Caenorhabditis elegans: one gene and its partner. The protein of the gene in region 1 interacts with the protein of each later gene in a pairwise test. Each region holds a gene or a part of one and is shown on either strand. Other genes may lie near its edges. The genes, in order: rnp-7 and rev-1.

The links.
Region 2: the proteins of rnp-7 (region 1) and rev-1 interact in a two-hybrid assay, tested with the Caenorhabditis elegans proteins (2 studies listed by BioGRID).

Annotation. Positions count from the first base shown.
Region 1 is NC_003281.10:7,158,194-7,163,015, forward strand, and holds rnp-7 (U1 small nuclear ribonucleoprotein 70 kDa), read right to left. Parts: upstream 2,963-4,822; 5' UTR 2,958-2,962; coding exon 2,808-2,957; intron 2,764-2,807; coding exon 2,581-2,763; intron 2,535-2,580; coding exon 2,472-2,534; intron 2,425-2,471; coding exon 2,346-2,424; intron 1,552-2,345; coding exon 1,218-1,551; intron 1,150-1,217; coding exon 960-1,149; 3' UTR 719-959; downstream 1-718. Other genes in the region: nuo-4 (NADH dehydrogenase [ubiquinone] 1 alpha subcomplex subunit 10, mitochondrial), read right to left, coding at 1-193, 239-610; Pre-mRNA-splicing factor syf-2, read right to left, coding at 3,123-3,346, 3,395-3,746, 3,794-3,922; K04G7.1 (Integrase zinc-binding domain-containing protein), read left to right, coding at 4,561-4,617, 4,661-4,770, 4,819-4,822.
Region 2 is NC_003280.10:7,898,448-7,905,167, reverse strand, and holds rev-1 (DNA repair protein REV1), read right to left. Parts: upstream 4,547-6,720; 5' UTR 4,522-4,546; coding exon 4,405-4,521; intron 4,284-4,404; coding exon 3,873-4,283; intron 3,829-3,872; coding exon 3,679-3,828; intron 3,349-3,678; coding exon 3,225-3,348; intron 3,173-3,224; coding exon 3,001-3,172; intron 2,956-3,000; coding exon 2,517-2,955; intron 2,473-2,516; coding exon 1,971-2,472; intron 1,924-1,970; coding exon 1,733-1,923; intron 1,687-1,732; coding exon 1,290-1,686; intron 1,241-1,289; coding exon 989-1,240; intron 936-988; coding exon 607-935; 3' UTR 501-606; downstream 1-500. Other genes in the region: best-23 (Bestrophin homolog), read left to right, coding at 1-35, 142-250, 300-403; ptc-1 (Protein patched homolog 1), read right to left, coding at 5,460-5,672, 5,723-5,834, 5,882-6,720.

The DNA of each region.
Region 1 (4,822 bases):
TGGCAAAAACGAAATCCGAATGTGGAGTACGTTCGAGCACAACTCCTTGACCGGTATTGAGAATATGAGCAAGTGCGTTGAGATATTGATCGAAACGGCAGTTGAAAATGCGATCTTGCATGGCAGCTGAGAGTTCACCACTTGGATTCTTATAGAACATGGAAATGTCTGGAAGACGGTAACGAGCTGGGAACTGGAATAATATTACATTTAAGAGTTAGGTTGAATTATTATTTACTTTATTATAATAATTGCGAAGATCATTTCCGTAGCGATCGACGAGAATATCGTCCATTCTAAATTCTGGGAAATGAACGAAGCCGAGTTGATCAGCAAGTTGTTTGGCTAAAGTTGTCTTTCCGGATCCAATATTTCCTTCAACAACGATAAGCTTGGAATTTTGATGGAAATGAGAACGAGTGTCGTCTTTTAATCCATCAATATAATTGAATCCATTGTGCTTATAGTCCCATGGTTCTGGATGTTCAGATGGAAGTCTTAGAAGACTTTTATGAACAACTCCTCTGACTTGATTTGAGAGTGCTCCTGATCTGGAGCAGGCCAGCAAACCGGTTGCCAGCCCTCCCAATTTGCTCATGGAACCCGGCATGATGGTCTTAACAAGGAACAAGATAATAAGATTAAATTGGAAAATGAACAAAATAAAATATTAGAATAGGTTTGAAAACCATTAGAAATAAATTATTCTACAGAAAATATTGCAATTGAAGCTTTATTAGAATCTGCCCTCGAATAGTTGAACTTCTGAGCAGAAAAAAGTCAATAACTTAAAAATATAAATTAGAAGATACCGTTCAGGTTTGAAAAAGTGTTTAGGAATACAAAATGATTTGAGAGGACGAGATAGAAAGCAGAAGGAAAAATCGGTAAATTTCAGATCGAAGGATACAAAACAAACATAAAAGCGAGGAAAATCCACAAGGCCTTTGGTTTCAGAATCAACGGCGATCACCATATCGACCTCCACCACCACCTCCGCTACTTCCACCACCGCTTCGATATCCACCACCGGATCCTCCACCTGTACTGTATCGGCTTCCTCCACGGTCACCTCCTCTATCACCTCCTCTATCACGATCACCTCCGTATCCACCACCACCACTTCGATCATTGAAACGATCACGGCCTCTGAAAATATTAATTAAAACAAGTGAAGAAAAATACAAATAAGATGTCGAAATCTTATAAAAACTAACCCTCCACCGAATCCGCCACCTCCACCGCGATTATCTCTAAATCCGCCCGATGATTCTCGTCGATCACGATCATTTCCTCCACCATTACGGTAAGAATCTTGACGTCTATCCCGACTACCACTTCTTTCTCTATCTCGATCCTCGTACCCACCTCCAAATCCAGACGCAATTTCACGTTCTTCAATGACTGATTTAGCTTCGCGAGTTTTACGAGTATCTCCTTTTCCACCGCCAAGTCTTCTAGGCAACCATGTCTTCTGAGTACGACCTCTTTCATAGTCGACAACTAGACGTTTACCATCAACTTTGATTCCGTCAGCTTTTTTGTAAGCGGCTGAAAATAATACTCGAATATTATGTTCAATAAGGAATAAGGTGAGAGAATACGGATTTGTGTGTCTACTCAATAAATATCTTACCTAACCTACCAAAAAAGCGCTCACAGGCCTCCATGTCATTCGCGGAATTGACTACTTACCCAACCACTTACCCGCGATTCAGAAAATGTGTTAGACTTCAAACTTACAGACAAAACTTACGGGAAAACTTACAAAAAGCGGCAAGAAACTTACAAAAATAATCCCAAGATGATTTTTTTGATGTTTGTGAGGAAAACTTACAAAGCGTGTACCTTACCCATTCAAAAAATAAAAAAATAAATCTGAATTCTTGGATTTTTTCCTAATCTAGTAGCCTAAATGAAATTCAAAGACCTAGTACTAAAAAAAGAGTTTATATCAGAAATTTTCAGCTTAACAAATTAATAAAGTTTTTAAATGCGATAATATGCCTAAAACCTTTTTAGCAAGCGTGCAATTTTAAATAATGTTTTTTTTCTTGGAAAGACTCGTTTCTTAAAATGCTAATTCCTTTTTTTTTTAATTTCTTGTTTTTTATTTGAGCTCACCAACAAACAAACCTATCAGAAATTAATCGATAGGAGAGTTGCGCGCTCTGCCATTCCCATTCATTTCCCAGGATTTCACAATGGCCGCGTGGCTGTAAAAATTACAAAAATAGGAGCGTGTTCCTTGAAAATTGGTTTTTAAAATAAAATTTCTGTTGTTTTTTTGAGCAAAAGGTTCAGCCAATGATTTTTTGTTTTATGACAAACAAACTGCAACCCACTATGCATCTCAGCCTTGTCACTGTATTCGATAAACGCGTAACCACGTGGTTTTCCTGCCTCGTCGTGGACCATTGTTAACTGGAAAAAACAATGAAAGCTTAACTTGGAAGAAACGAGACACTTACCTTTTTAATTTTACCATACGCTTCGAATTCTCGTCTCAACTTGCTTTCAGACGTTTCATAGTTCTGAAAATATAAACTAAAACACATTCTAACATTTAAAAAAACGTGCAATTCGTCCAACGAATAGAGTGCGATATGGATCCTCCGAAGCTCTTGGATTCTCAGCTGGATTCCACGTGGCGATTCCTTGTTCTACTTTATATGCTAACAATTCATCTTTTTGTCGTCTTTTTTCTTCTTTTGCTTCAGCTTTTGTTACTACTGGGATTTTTGCTGGAGTATCTTTCGGATCCTGAAAAAAAAATAGCTTCCAAAATAATAAAGTTACGTTCAAACCTCAAATAATTGAATATATTGAGCAACTCCAGTCATCGGAGCCCTTTTAGCATTTTTGTCCACTAGTAGGTCCTGGCATGGTGGAAGATATTGCACTGGTGGTCGTGCTTCGAAAAGCGCCAGAAGATTGGGAGGTAGAAATGCCGTCATGTCACCTGAAAATAATTTTTATTTATTATTTGAGTTTTGTAGGTACAAAGATTATCGAATAGAAGAGAGAAAATAGTATGGAATGGGAAGATGAAGAACAAAACAAAAGAAGAAAAAAAGTTGAAAAAATGTCTGAAAAAGAAAATAAAAAAGCGATCCTCGGTTTCAGATAGCTGTTCCACGTTCCAAATCGTCTTTGATATCTTCTGTGTACTTTCCATAGTACTTGTCCAGTTTCTTATTGAATTTCTTGTTTTTCTCATTGATGTAATCAATTGGCGCGTCAGGATCATAAAGTCTACGACGATGATATTGTTCTCGTCTTTTAACTTGGCCGTGAACATCTTTAGTGAGCTTATCCATTGCAGCAGTTGTCGGATAGTGATTTCCTGAAAACTCTTTGGTTTTTCTTTGAAATTATGAGTTTTGCTCCTTACCATGAATAAGTGTGTCAGCAGTTGGGTAAAACTGTTCCCCTCCAACGCATTCTCTCATCTTTTTGTAAGAATCAAGATCTGGATCAAGAGCAGCAGTCAGGCGAGTATGTTGACGAAGAGTCATATCTTCGTAAGAAGTAAATCCTTGATCTGGGTTCTTCTTTCTCTTTCTTTTTTGCTCAAGCTTCTCAGTAACATCTGCAGACATCTCTAAACTGCGAACACGTTCATAGTCCAATCCCTTGTCTTCTGCAGCTTTTCGATCTTGTAGCTCTTTAACCTGCCATTGATCTCTTTCCTTTTTTGCTTCGTGGTTTTTTGGAAGTTTGCTGCGACGATCTTCTTCAACGACCTACAATTTTAAATTATAATTGAAAATGTAAACGTTAAAACACTAACCTGTTCGTGATTCTCTTTTCTCGCTCTTTGGCGGAGTTTGTGAAGATCACGGAACCTCTGATTGAAATCCTTCATTTTTGATCCACTGGACGACGGCCCACTGCTGCTCGATTGTGATTCGGAAGACATCTAGGAAAAAGTGTTGAAGAGAAATCCAGAAAGTTGAGAAGAAAAGCTACATTGAAACGGAATACAGAATATTTTGAACATCAGAAAAAGAAGAACCGATATGATTTGAATTCATTTACAATCTATATTTTTTAAACCGATAGTTACATGTTCAAAACATATTAATACTATCCAGCTTTGCGAAACAAAGAAGGCTTTCTTAGAAATAAGCATGGTACTATCGATAAGGAGTTCAAAAATGGAAATAAAAACTTTATTTTCTAGTTGAAAATGCTGAGAATCGAGTCAAAATTGCGAAAATTAATCTGGGCGAGTAGTTCAACACAGCGCACTTGCACAATTTTCTTTTCTCTCCGCTGCGTAGCGGTCGCGTCGCGGTCGTCTAGTCTTGCGCTCGTCACACCGAACGCGTCAATATGTGACGTTTCGGGCCTTTTCTGCTCACTCTGGCGGTAATTTAAACATATTAAAAATATATTTTAATTCAAAAATATTTATAATAGACCATTTAAAAGTACTCAACATTATTCCAATTGTTCGTTCTTGTTGTTTTGGGCACTTTGAGTTTTTTCTTAAAATTTTAATTTAAATTTCAGCTGATGATGTTAATGAACAGTACTGAGATAGTTGACGACAACATGGTAGTCGAAGGATATGAGGAAATTGCAGTGGATGACGATATGAATGATATGAGAGTGAGTGTGCTTGAATCATTAATTTTCTTTATTCAAATTTAAGGAAATGGTTGCAAATGATGAAGATGACAGTATTCACTATGAAGCCCATGATGGAAGCGAATATGGTGGAATGCCAATTGACCAATATCAAGATATTGTTATGTTCAAAACGTAAAAAAAATTTTTCCTGAGTAATATAAATTTAAAGCATTATTCCAGAACG
Region 2 (6,720 bases), on another chromosome or scaffold:
CTGTTTATGTTGAAAGTTTGGATGATGAAATTCGTGTAAGTCTGAAAATCTAAAATTTTGGAACAATCTAAAAATATGATCTACCAAAACCATGGAGTTTTAAATTTGTAGTTTTCAATCTATAGCATAACTTTATTACAGTTACTTCATACAAGTGCATCGTCAAAACTATCAAATCATCCACAACGACAGCATCTTCGGAAATTAAAATTCAATGTAGACGCAATGCAAGTGCAAGCAGTTCCGGGAAGTGGGAATTTCATAAAAAAATATGAAAGTTACTATTTTTTAAATTTCAGATCATCTAAACGAACGAGACGTTTCCGTTTCAACAACTTCAAAACTTTCATTCGCTGATCTGGAAAATTTGGCAAATGGTCCTAGAAATATTCCAAAGTTTTGAGAATGGATTTCAAACTGATTACAAGCTCTTTCCTGTATTGATCTCGACGTCTTCTTACTGGTTTAATATTCACGTCTTCACTCATTCATTCCTTCTCTTTTTGAATTATAAAAGTTTATTCAATGGTCTTAAATATGTTATTTATTCATTTTAATTTAATTATTTTACAGAAAAAGAAAAACAATATTTTACAAGATTTAAATTCAGGTATGTTTAGTGGAATCAATTACAAATACTTCTTTTGGAACAAATGGCTCTGGTGAACTAATTGATGTGTTATCAGTGTTGCTGGCAATCATAGCTCCCAAATTTCGAGTGGTAGCTATGGGAAATTCAAGCAGATCTTTTGATTCTTCTTCGATGAATGGTACCATCAAATGGAATACTGAAAACCAAGCAGTGTCGCATCTACTAGAATCCATCGAAATCTCTTCAAACTTTCTGAATACAGTCTCGAATGCGGAAAGTTTTCCATAGTTTAGCAACGTTGAAAGCATTTCCTGTAAGTTCGTAACACTCTCCTTGGTTGGCTCTGAAAAAATTGATAAAGTTATTCCATGAAACATCAGATTTTGGGTATCTCACCATTTTGAATAATACATTCCAATTCGGCCAGACGATTTTCAACTAATCCATCATCTTCCAAATCTTCCAATTCGAGGTTGTTGTCAGATCGTCCATTGAGAAGTGTGGATTTTACAATTTCAGGAATATCTATGTCATTTGCCACTCTAAAATTAATTTGACGAGGTATGCTTTGCACTTCCAGATCTTCAGTCACAGCTGGAATTATCACAGGTTCTTTATCTAGTTCATCTTCGTTTCGCGGAATAATATCTGAAAATACAGAATGTTTTCAATAAAATTTCACTACTTAAATACTAACTCAATTGTTCGTCAGTTCTCGCCATATTCCCAACTCTAGAGGTCTTCCCAAACATCTCTTGCACTGCCGTTGCCGCATCTTTTTTCAATTTACTTTTCAACTTTCCACAGGTAACTCCAACTCCACGAAGATCTTCTACTTTCGGAGAAACTTTAGCATATAATTTCATAGCTTCTGATGTGAGAGACTCTCCGCGTGTAGTTGGAACGTTTAGATTACACGTTTTGGTAAATGTATCACAAATTCCATGTCCCATGAATTTGGATGTTTGTATAGGAGCATTTGCTGAACGTACCATAAGCTTCAAAGTTATGGATCCTGCGGTTAATTTACTATCGATAAGTTTCCGTTCTAACTCAGCTCCAATAGCTGTCATGAGTTGAATAACTTCACCTCTCTGAAATATTCCATCGTTATACGGACATTTTAATATAATACATTACCTTCGTGAAACGAATACCATAATTGATATCACATGATACTGATTTTCGAACATGAGTAGCCCAAAAATCATCTGGATCTTCTTCAATACCACGACATTGTCGTAATATTTTTGAAGCCAACTTTGGTCCGAATACAGGTACAAGTTCCCGTTCAGTTTTTAATTGTAGTTCACGGCATTTTGTAATATCACCTGTAAAACTGAGAAGTTGATATTTTTATATTAGATACTGGAATTACCAAAGAATGAAGTTAATCTATTCATCATTTCGTATCCAAATCCTGGTAGATCTTTAACTTTTTCCTCGGAAATGAATTCATTTTTCTTATGTGCATTAACCCAAAAAACTCCATCTGGTTTAGCATGTCTTGTTGCAAGTCTTGCTAACAAGCTCGTAGATCCTATTCCAACACTGGCTGGGCATTGAGTCTTCTCTCGTATCACTTTACGGATGTGTTCAGCGAGAATTGTTGGGTCGTTGATTTCGTATTTTTCACAAAAACTGCTCATGTTTATATACATTTCATCGCAGGAGACTGCACGAACCTCCAATGTGTAGCTAGCCAGAATTTCATAAATTTTCCGACTAACTTGCACATAATCCTCAAATTGATATGGTAATAGAGTTAATTGTGGACACTTTTGTAGAGCATCTCTCACGAGCATACCATTTTTGACTCCACAATCACGAGCTGCATAACTGCAAGAAGCCACCTCGCTCATGCTATTCGAAATAGTTCCCTGAAAGATTTATAGTTTGACACGAAGCTTTTAAATTGATTTACCTTGCTATGAGTGATGGCAACTTCTTTGTGTTTCAAATCAATTCGATTTCTGACAGCAACTGAGACGAAGAAACAGTCTAGATCCACGTGGAATACTGTACTTTCCCGAGAAATTTCATTGCTAAGAGACTTCATATCGATGAGTTCTTTCTCTTCAAAACACTTTTCCGTTAGCTTTCCTTCCAGTTTCAAATTTGCCACAAAATCTTTCATATCCTGCGCGAGAGTAGAAATCAAATGAAGACGACTTCTGGCATAGTAATCTCGAATAAAGTTTGGATTCCGGGCATCAGAGAACTGATTCGATGAAGTTGTTTCATTGTTACCACCGGTGTTTCTAGTTGATATTGTTAGAAACTGTTGCATTTGTCCCTTTTCCACCGAACCTTTCTCGTATATCAAAAAATCTCGATAATCGAGTGGTTTTCCAGCAGCTATTCTGAAATACTGGTTTAATCGGAAGAATCGGGTTGATTATATTTACGATTCCGTAATCCAATCAGCTTTAATGAAAATTTCATTTTCTCGAATTCGATTTATTTTTGCTGTAGCAATTGAGGAAGCTATCGTGTATGAAGTAATTCCATGTTGATAATAACAGTGATATTCACCTCCGTGAGAAATCATCAAATCTCTGATAACAAGTGCTGGTGGATCTGAAATAAGTAACTGTAAAATCAGTCGTTAAGTTATGGAATATGAAATTACCTGTATAACCATTCACAAATACCGAGAATCCTTCCATTATTCTAGACACATTCTCTAGTGGTTTCGCATATCCATGATTCACCTGATGGTTAAGTTTAGTGATCTTCATCCGCATATAGTCATTCTGAAAAAAATGATTATTTCCTGTGGGTTATTATCAGTTAAGTGCTAAACTGTCCAAATGTCATAGTAAAACTTTTCAAAAAAGTTGTTTCTTTACAGTCAAGCGTGTTTTGAAAACTGAGAGGCCATACTGGAAGTCGGACAGAAAATTGTCTTTACGAGTTTATAATTTAATTTGGGTTTCGATAGTTTTTATTTAAATATTCTAGGATTTCGAATATACAGCGATGCTCGAAAAAAGTCCACATTTGGAATGAAACTTTTAATTTTACGTGAAAACGAAAAACTTTATTTATAGTAAATGATTTGGTGTTTTGGGCAAAAAACTCACAAAATTATTTATTTCGAAATTTTGTCCATGTATGGTGATGGTTTTCTGTTGATTCCAGTACTCGCCACTATCTGATGAAACAACACCAACTGGGCCATGTGCAGCGGATGTTGAAGGTTCACAATCATATGATTTTGGTTCTAGACGACGCTGTAATCTAGAATATTAACGATTGTTTTAATATTTCTACATACCTTTCTTGGTATAAGTTTGATATTATTTTGAATAGGAACTTCAACCGGTAGCATTGTTCCTTGCTTATCCATGCTATTTCCACCTTCTCTATCCGGATATTCAGCAGCTTCATGTTCTGAGTCAACTTCTTCAATTAAATCACCAAATATGTCTATACTGATATTTGCTGCCTGTTCAATGTCTACTTCTTTTCTTTTCTGATCTTCCGTTCTGAACGATTTTAAAAGATCAGCAAGTGCATCATTATCAGAATTATTTTCAGTTTCATCCTCTTCGTCACTGGATTCTAGCATTCGAGTTATTGTATCATCAGGATTTGCGCGTTTATTTTCATCTTCTAGTACAGTAGTATTCGGACAATTTTCGATCACTGTTACTTGGGAATATCCTGTTATTCCGTCGAATGAACCCTTAAAGAAAGCAGAAGTATTTTGAAAATAGCTATTTAATATTTTTGAAAACTAAATTTAACGATTTCATTGAAATTATTCGACATTCCATCGAACTTTTCGATATATTTGCAGCTAATACCTCATCTGAAACAATTATAGCATCACTTCGTCGTCGATTCACATTAGGAGTCGGAACAAACTTTTCAAAAGAATCATCTGAATCTGGATGATCGGTGAATGGGTCAGGAGAATGCATCATTCATTGTATTGATTTCTGGAATCAATATTTGTTTTCTGATTAATTGCGTCTTTAACCGTAATTCTGTCGACAAGTATAATTTCTCACAGTTCATACTAAAATTTTCTGAAAATAAGAATCGATAAAATGTATGTTTCATGTTAGAAAAAGTTTATTCATCCGAAAAAATTCGAAACAAAAAAATTGGAGATGAGGCGAAGGGACAATAGAAATCGAGAGGGGCAGAGAAAAATCTTGGCTGGTGCTAATAAAATAATTAAATTCCCAAAGCTCGCTGAGATCATTCACAGAGGGGAACAAAACAAACGGCGAAAAAGACCAAGTGGGTGCAATTGAAAGCAATACAAAAAGGTGAACAATACAGATATGTCAATTGTACTTTTTTCTCTAAATTGTACCGTTCCCCTTTTATCACTCGGAGTAAATATTATGCGCATGTTTTTTTCGATTGAGAAGTGGCAATAAATACCCAAAGAAAAAAGAAAACGAGGGTGCCAAAATATTCATCGATATGGATGCAAGAAAATAAAGAAAAATAATACTATAACAGATTAAAGCATTTGTCGTTTGGAAACCGCGCAAAATCTATTCTTTCAGTTTTGAATTTGTTAATTGGGTGCTAGAAATGGTGAAGTGTGTGAAAGTGTCAATTTTATAGTGATCATGTTAATTGCCTATATCTTGGAAATCTCAGTGAAAAAATCAACATAATAACTATAAAAGTGTTATACAGGGCATGGGAAGATCACCAGAAAGTGTGTAGTCGACCGTTAGAAAGAGAGAAAAGACAAAAATAATTTAAAAGAAAATATGACAACGAAACATTGGGAAAAAGGATAAGTTCACAATGCTCTGCATTCATCAGAAAGAAATTTACCCATTTTTACATTTTTGTAAGTTTTTAAGCTCCAAAAACTTGGAGCGAACTACTACTGCTATACAGCTGGCAATCGGCGTGTGTTATTTCCAACTGTTCCTCGATTTCCTCCTGATGTCCTCGTCGTTGGGGGTGCTTGTCTTGAGTACATCACAAGACCACTCGGCTCGTCATCTTCATCAGAATCATCGCCGCCAGATCGAGACGAGTTGGCATTCTTTGGCAAAGGAGGTGGCAGGGTCAATGTTGTCTTTCCACCAGTAGGAGAGATCTAAAAAAAATAAGATGTATACAAGAAAAATAACAAAATTTAGATTTTACCTCTCTCCTTGGGCCAAACCAAGATAATAAAACTGGAAGAAGAATGAGTCCGTTTATGATTCCAATGCAAATCAGAGCCGTCATGACAATAAAGAAATACTTGACAACAAATCTGAAAATAAAACATTCTGATGACATCCATACTTCTGTAAAACTCACTCAAACTCTGAGAATCCAAGCATCAAAATACCGAGAAGTGTGGAGAATGATCCATGAATGACTGGGACAAAAACTCGATCAACTGCAGATGACGTCCGTTGAGATCTTGTTCCGAGCGCCGTCAGGAATGATACAACCACATGAACAGTGAATTCGACTCCAATTCCAACTGCGGTGATCAAAGTTACGGCTGAAACCGGATTGAGCTTGATTCCAACGAGTCCCATGAATCCGGCAAGTTCGCAAGTCATGATTCCGAGAATACAAACAACCATAAGTGCAGCCCATGGATTGAAAAGAAGAACGGAAATGACGCAGAAGACAGAGATGGTAATGATCGAAATGGCTTGCATAAGATTTCCAGTCAAGAAAAGATATTGTTCCCAGAATGTGAATGCGATTCCTTGTGGGAAATTTGGAAGTCCTTGATCGGTAAATCGTTCACAAACACTTCTGATGTCCTTTATGGCATCGACAATCACAGCGGTATCCGTGAGGCCAGTTAAGTAGAATGGAATCTGCGAATATGCAAGTGGCTCAGCAGCTGGGATGAAGTTTTCGGTATGATTCTTGCTCAATTCCCATTTTGGTGGTGTTGGGAAGAAAGAAGCTTGAGATACATAGTACATCATGTGATCGACATTGAACCATGCTGTTAAATAGTTGTAGAATCCATCAGAGTTGATAATTCCACTTGCATCAACTAGTCGAATCTTTCCTACTCTTCCAGCACACCCAAATAGAGAACCATGAGAGCACATAAGAGCATGAGCAAGACGAGCATCCTCGGAAACATTGCTGCCAATAACTGTTCCAGATGTAAGATTGAATGATCCTTT